2 linked regions of the Saccharomyces cerevisiae S288C genome follow. The protein of the gene in region 1 binds, or shares a complex with, the protein of each later gene. Each region holds a gene or a part of one and is shown on either strand. Other genes may lie near its edges. A codon is read from its position in the direction of its gene.

Evidence for each region.
Region 2: the proteins of CUS1 (region 1) and HSH49 are in contact, whole or in part, in a crystal structure (PDB 5LSL), measured with the Saccharomyces cerevisiae proteins. Residues at the interface, in NP_013967.1 of Saccharomyces cerevisiae: Arg290 (codon at 2,935), Pro291 (codon at 2,938), Gly292 (codon at 2,941), Arg293 (codon at 2,944), Ile294 (codon at 2,947), Ser295 (codon at 2,950), Glu297 (codon at 2,956), Leu298 (codon at 2,959), Ile301 (codon at 2,968), Met302 (codon at 2,971), Pro311 (codon at 2,998), Trp312 (codon at 3,001), Lys315 (codon at 3,010), Met316 (codon at 3,013), Ile319 (codon at 3,022), Gly320 (codon at 3,025), Leu321 (codon at 3,028), Pro322 (codon at 3,031), Thr323 (codon at 3,034), Gly324 (codon at 3,037), Tyr325 (codon at 3,040), Tyr345 (codon at 3,100); in NP_014964.1 of Saccharomyces cerevisiae: Ile20 (codon at 2,066), Gln24 (codon at 2,078), Glu27 (codon at 2,087), Leu28 (codon at 2,090), Ile30 (codon at 2,096), Gln31 (codon at 2,099), Ile32 (codon at 2,102), Asn33 (codon at 2,105), Pro34 (codon at 2,108), Gly61 (codon at 2,189), Asp62 (codon at 2,192), Tyr65 (codon at 2,201), Lys68 (codon at 2,210), Ile69 (codon at 2,213), Met70 (codon at 2,216), Thr73 (codon at 2,225), Val74 (codon at 2,228), Arg75 (codon at 2,231), Leu76 (codon at 2,234), Tyr77 (codon at 2,237).

Annotation. Positions count from the first base shown.
Region 1 is NC_001145.3:749,371-753,307, reverse strand, and holds CUS1 (U2 snRNP complex subunit CUS1), read left to right. Parts: upstream 1-2,067; coding exon 2,068-3,378; downstream 3,379-3,937. Other genes in the region: 60S ribosomal protein eL20 RPL20A, read left to right, coding at 1-83; YHM2 (Yhm2p), read right to left, coding at 403-1,347; RNT1 (ribonuclease III), read left to right, coding at 3,631-3,937. UniProt on the Saccharomyces cerevisiae protein: Essential splicing protein required for U2 snRNP binding to pre-mRNA during spliceosome assembly.
Region 2 is NC_001147.6:910,814-913,963, forward strand, and holds HSH49 (U2 snRNP complex subunit HSH49), read left to right. Parts: upstream 1-2,008; coding exon 2,009-2,650; downstream 2,651-3,150. Other genes in the region: long-chain fatty acid-CoA ligase FAA1, read left to right, coding at 1-632; GNT1 (glucose N-acetyltransferase), read right to left, coding at 2,806-3,150. UniProt on the Saccharomyces cerevisiae protein: Possible SF3b-like factor.

The sequences.
Region 1 (3,937 bases):
AGGACTTGAAATTCCCATTGCCTCACAGAGTCCAAAAATCCACCAAGACTTTCTCCTACAAGAGACCTTCCACTTTCTACTGAACTGTGCATATTTGAATTTTAAGATATAAAATATTTTTCTGATACTTTAATAGTTTATTTTTATGTATTATCAATTCTGTAGAATTTAATAATTTCAACATTTCATGAACGGCCAGAGGTAAATGGGTAAGGCTTCCTTTCAAAGAATCTATAGATATTAAGGTTTGCATGAAGTAAATAGCTGATAACCTTAGTACAATTAGAACAAGTTGAGACAAATAGGAAGCACCCCAGCATAAGAGCAATATCCTCAGAAAAAAAAAAAATGACTAAGCTAAATAATTAATTTTTTTAAAAAAAACTTATAGTACAATACACGCTAATGTTTGGCAACTGGGGTTTCACCAGTCATTCTGGCGACAAATTCCTTCGCCATATCACCAAAACCAACCATGAAGACAGTTTGCCAGATACCTAAACCAATTCTTGGGGTGACACCACGGTAAAGACCCTTTAGACCATTTGATTGATAGATGTATTTAAATGTCTTACCAACAGTCAAATTTTTTGGTCTGTTTGGATCTTCCTTCTTAGATTGCATTTCAACTCTAATGACTTCGATTGGTTGATTCCAAGCACTTAAACCACCACCTAAAGCACTGGCACCAATTTTCTCGAACGGATTCAACTTGTCGTCTTTATTGGTTTTCCCGGTGATCTTTCTGATACCATCTTCCACTAGTCTGGACAAACCAAAACGAGAACCCCAGTTGGTCATTTGTCTAATAGCAACAGCATTAACACCCTTATTAATACCTCTAATACCTTCCTTTTTATAAATATTCTTGAACACACTCCAAGAAGATTGTGGGACACCACCTGCGGAGGCAGATTTATGTCTTGTAATTTCCACCGTTTTCATACAGGTACAGAACCCCATGGTTAAGTAGGCTTGAGTGACACCACCCGTGACACCACCTAATATACCTGAGGCAAAGTTGTTCAACCCCAAACTTTTGAAACGATACTCAGCCTCAGCTGACACGAACAGCAACACAGCACCTTTAGTGGAGGCTTCGATCCATGCCCATGGAATCAAACCTTGGTAGTAACCCAAGATACCACCTCTTGACCAGACATGCTTAACAGATTCTAAAAATGTGAAGTTTCTGTTTGCAGCCATTGTGGTCTTAACAACCTCCAAAGGTTGCCCTAATGTAGTCACCTCTGACAAGTTTAAACAGGCACCCAATAGGATATTAGAAAACGAGACTGGCTTTTTTTCTATTACGTTTGCTGCAGCAGTATTAGTGGTAGATGGCATAGCTATAATGACGTCGGGCTTTTCCTAGCTTTATTTGTACAAAAGACTTATATAAAAAGATTGTATCAGCGCTGTTTATATCTCAATGAAAGTAGATATATATACCGTAAGCGAGTTGAAACAATGACTTGAGGTGGGCAGCTTCGGACTTTTTGCAAAATTCAAATCCGAATATCTAGAAGATTGTATTGACAGCGTTTTTTAAATGTCCGTAGATTTCTCGAGATATATAAATGTTACAGAAGGTAAGATCCATGCAAGAGGCTAATGCGTTTTTCTTTTTTTTTTTTAGAGTGCGATATCTTGTCATAAGTTTACACAATGGGACAAAGGAAGCTAAAACATGAGTGCAAAAGAAGGGCCCATGTTTGTCGCCCTATGCATTTAGCCAATCATCTTTTTTTTTTGCGTGATCTTTATCAATCGTGATTCTCTGCCTTCTGAGTGAAAAAAGTCATGATCTTCGCGTTATTGCAGCGGAATTTGCCGACAGGACCTAGGTCTTGAGAAAGAAAAGTGATAGGGTAAGTAATGGAAGAAGAGGGCACAGGTCCAATCACGCAGCTTCATTACAGGGCTATAATTGCAAGAATAATAACTTTCAACCATATAGAAATCCAATACAGTATATTGGTATTGTTTAGAAAGGTATTAAGAAGGCAGTAGCATACAGAGTATATATCTATAGGCAGAGCATCAGATCATAAAGATAGTGGTGAAATGGCTAGAACCAAAAGTAGGAAGCGTTCCGGAAATAACCAAAATAAGAATGCGTCTGTGGTAAATAATAAGGCTGAGATCGCCGCCATGATTGATGCAAGAAGGCTTGAGCAAAAGAAAAAGGGTGGGGTGACTAACAGCAAAGGAAAGACGAATAAGGTAGTGGATGCGAAGTTAGAAAAAGAGTTCAAAGACGTTTTACAACGATTTCAAGTGCAAGAGAATGATACGCCGAAGGAAATCACGAAAGATGAAAAGAACAATCATGTCGTTATTGTTGAGAAAAACCCAGTTATGAACAGAAAGCATACAGCAGAAGATGAATTGGAGGATACACCCTCGGATGGTATTGAGGAGCATCTATCGGCAAGAAAACGTAGGAAGACTGAAAAACCTTCACTTTCGCAGTTAAAAAGCCAGGTACCGTATCCTCAAATTATAGAATGGTACGATTGTGACGCAAGATATCCAGGCTTACTAGCGTCAATTAAGTGCACCAAAAATGTCATTCCTGTTCCAAGCCACTGGCAGTCCAAGAAGGAATATCTATCTGGCCGTTCTCTGTTAGGTAAAAGACCTTTTGAACTTCCTGACATTATCAAGAAGACAAATATAGAACAAATGAGATCGACGCTTCCGCAAAGCGGACTGGATGGTCAAGATGAAAAGTCACTAAAGGAGGCCTCAAGAGCAAGAGTGCAGCCGAAAATGGGCGCCTTGGATTTGGATTACAAGAAGTTACACGATGTGTTTTTCAAGATAGGAGCCAACTGGAAACCTGACCATTTGTTATGCTTCGGTGACGTCTATTATGAAAATAGGAATCTTTTCGAGGAAACGAACTGGAAAAGAATGGTTGATCATAAGAGACCGGGGAGAATTAGCCAAGAGCTTCGTGCCATAATGAATTTACCCGAAGGTCAACTACCACCATGGTGTATGAAGATGAAAGACATTGGATTACCTACGGGATATCCTGATCTGAAAATTGCCGGCTTGAATTGGGATATAACGAATTTAAAAGGCGACGTTTACGGAAAAATAATCCCTAATCACCATTCAAGGTCCAAGAAACAGGGTAGAAACTATTTTGGCGCATTGATCTCATTTGAAACCCCTGAATTTGAAAATTCAAAAGAGGATACACAGGCGAATGCGGAAAATGGGCGCCAAGATGACAAAATCGATGATGAAGTAGAGCATAAGTTAGATCACTTCCAGGAAGACATATCCGAAGTGACAAGCGCAGAAGAAAAACTTGAGAGAAACGAAGAGGAATCGGAGAAGCAACTATATACTGTATTGAAATAACTACTAAATATCGCATAGGTACTTCAGTTTTACAAAATTTTACATGTGGTACTATTTCTCACGTACGAGTTTTTTTCTTTTTTAAATGCGGCCCTAAACCATGCTGAAATTTTTCATGAGCTCATCGCAAAATTTATCTCATTATCAGGTCATATAGTCACTCTCAGGAGAATCCTGCTCGATCAAAGTGAGGCAAGTAAATGCGCATATAGAAGAGAGCAAAACTGTCCTATTTACAAGCTTTTCAAAACAATGGGCTCAAAAGTAGCAGGTAAAAAGAAAACCCAGAATGATAATAAACTAGATAACGAAAATGGTTCACAGCAGCGCGAAAATATCAATACCAAGACGCTTTTGAAAGGCAACCTTAAGATATCAAATTACAAATATCTTGAGGTGATTCAACTAGAACATGCTGTGACAAAATTGGTGGAGTCTTACAATAAAATAATTGAACTTTCACCAAATTTGGTAGCTTACAATGAAGCCGTTAACAATCAAGATAGAGTGCCTGTTCAGATACTTCCTTCTCTATCACGTTATCAATTAAAACTGGCAG
Region 2 (3,150 bases), on another chromosome or scaffold:
ATGTTGAAGAATTAGGTTATTTTGCTAAAAACAACCAAGGTGAAGTTTGGATCACAGGTGCCAATGTCACGCCTGAATATTATAAGAATGAGGAAGAAACTTCTCAAGCTTTAACAAGCGATGGTTGGTTCAAGACCGGTGACATCGGTGAATGGGAAGCAAATGGCCATTTGAAAATAATTGACAGGAAGAAAAACTTGGTCAAAACAATGAACGGTGAATATATCGCACTCGAGAAATTAGAGTCCGTTTACAGATCTAACGAATATGTTGCTAACATTTGTGTTTATGCCGACCAATCTAAGACTAAGCCAGTTGGTATTATTGTACCAAATCATGCTCCATTAACGAAGCTTGCTAAAAAGTTGGGAATTATGGAACAAAAAGACAGTTCAATTAATATCGAAAATTATTTGGAGGATGCAAAATTGATTAAAGCTGTTTATTCTGATCTTTTGAAGACAGGTAAAGACCAAGGTTTGGTTGGCATTGAATTACTAGCAGGCATAGTGTTCTTTGACGGCGAATGGACTCCACAAAACGGTTTTGTTACGTCCGCTCAGAAATTGAAAAGAAAAGACATTTTGAATGCTGTCAAAGATAAAGTTGACGCCGTTTATAGTTCGTCTTAATGGATCAACATTTCCATGATAGGAAAGCCTCATCATACTAAAGCACTTTTTCAGTTTTTTGCTTTAGAACTGCTACCAATTATAAAATAGAATGCACAGGTTATCTTGTTTGGTTTGTTATTATCCTTTTTTCTTCTTTACCAGTCATATCACCTCATTCACGTATGTTCGTAATTTATAATGTTAAAAATGGCATATATAGATATATTTATGAACATCCTAAAAAATAACTAAATTTTTCTACATTTCAAAAAAGGTAACGTTGACTGCCGCATGGCAGTCTAATTAGGAGCTTAGTGATACATATATATATATATATAAATTTCGGCCAAGACACCTCACATAAGAAGCATTACCAGAGGTGTCCTGATCTGAGATGGACCCTGTCTCATTTGTTGAGTTGACAAAATATCAGGGAAATTGATTACCCTGGTGTGCACTGACTCCTTAGTACTCATTTTCACAGCTTCGTACACATCATGGAAGACAAACCATAGCAACCAGCCGCTCTCATTCAATCTCGCATAGACTGGAAGAAGAAGCTCCAGAAGCATATCCATTCCTTGCAAAACGTTCGTTTCTGCGTGCCTGTCTTCTCCACTTTTGTCTCGGTCAGCCAACAGGCACGTGGTGGGTGTGCCTGGAGATTAGAAATTGTAGTTCCTCAGATTATGTAAATTTTCTCAACAAATTTACTAGGACAAAGAAATGACGTAGTAAGAGTACTAAGTATCAAGATTGTTGAGGTGTTCCGTTGTTAGTACTTTTTTACGAGCACGCGAAGTTGACACATTGTGTCTGGCAGATGGGAACTAATTTACTAATCAATTTGCAGCAGTACGCTATCATGTGATGAAATATATTCCCGTTGGATTAACCATAGTCTAATAGACAGTAATATCGAGGACTCAGGGACTACGCCATTTATTTACTTGGAATAATTTGCCTGCCCATTCAATAAAATTATGAAAATTGTGACGTTCATACACATGCTGATGAAATGAGTATTTCTTTTAGTTGAAAATCCAACAAATTCCTCATTAACGCCGTTTTCCCACTTCTATTTACTGGCTTTTCTTTCAAAACGAGGGGATTTATTCTTGGCGTTGTTGAAATTTTCACATTTCCAGAAGATTTATTCGGCGTTTATTTTTCTAATCCAGATTTAACAAAGAGAACAAAATCCCACTCGTTACCCTGCCTTGAATTGTCAGATGGCCTTATTTATTTATTTGTTACCCGCAGATGTGGATATAAGACGGAAATGGATAGTAAAGCTAAAACGACTCTTCAAGCAGAAATTACCGAGATGAGGTAAAAATGAATGGGCAAAATAGCTAGCCAAGAACAGCGCAATCATTCTAAGATTAACATTGATGAACTACAGCGCAGACTCTGGTAATACAGTTTATGTGGGGAATATAGATCCAAGGATAACGAAAGAACAACTTTATGAACTCTTCATTCAGATCAACCCTGTTTTAAGGATTAAGTATCCGAAAGATAAAGTTCTACAAGCTTACCAAGGCTACGCATTCATCGAATTTTATAATCAAGGAGATGCTCAATATGCAATAAAAATAATGAATAATACCGTTAGATTATACGACCGACTGATAAAGGTTCGTCAAGTAACCAATTCTACAGGAACAACTAATTTACCTTCAAATATTTCTAAGGACATGATTCTACCTATTGCTAAGTTGTTCATAAAAAACCTTGCAGATTCGATAGATAGCGACCAATTAGTGAAAATTTTCAATAAATTTGGTAAGCTCATAAGGGAACCCGAAATTTTCTACCTATCAAACGGAAAATTAAAGTGTGCTTATGTTTATTTTGAGGACTTTGAAAAAGCAGATTTGGCAATAAAATCTTTGAACAATCAGTTAGTCGCCAACAACAGAATTACTGTTGATTATGCCTTCAAAGAAAATGGAAAAGGTAACGCAAAATACGGTGATGACGTTGACAGGCTGTTGAATAAAGAAGCATTAAAGCACAACATGTTGAAATAAGATCCCGCTCTCACCTAGTACATACCTTACCCGTTAGAAAATGCGATAACGGACACAATCTTGGCAGAAACATTATCAATACTATGATATATATATATGCGTTTCCGACTATACTAATTTTTACACTTTTTGAAAATTTTCACTTCTCCTCATAATCAAACGAGGCAGATTTCCCTGGACTGTATGTAAGAAGCGTACACCGAGTTCCAAAGGTCACAAGCTTGGTGCTCTAGCTTTGAATCCTCCGCGTCTTCTTCTTTAACGATACATTCAAACTCCTTCATTGATGGATAATTCCAGGGCTTGGCCAATGGATAATCCGAAAAATGTATGTACTTAGAATATGCGACACTGTCGTTTAATCCTACCGGAATATCGTTGCCATCATTATCCAATGTCTTATAACCCAAAACGTCATTATAGATTATAGAATAGTGCCGTGGGTTTCTCAATGAACCCGTCAGTAAGCCGTACCTTGCAAATGGCAAAACCAATACTTC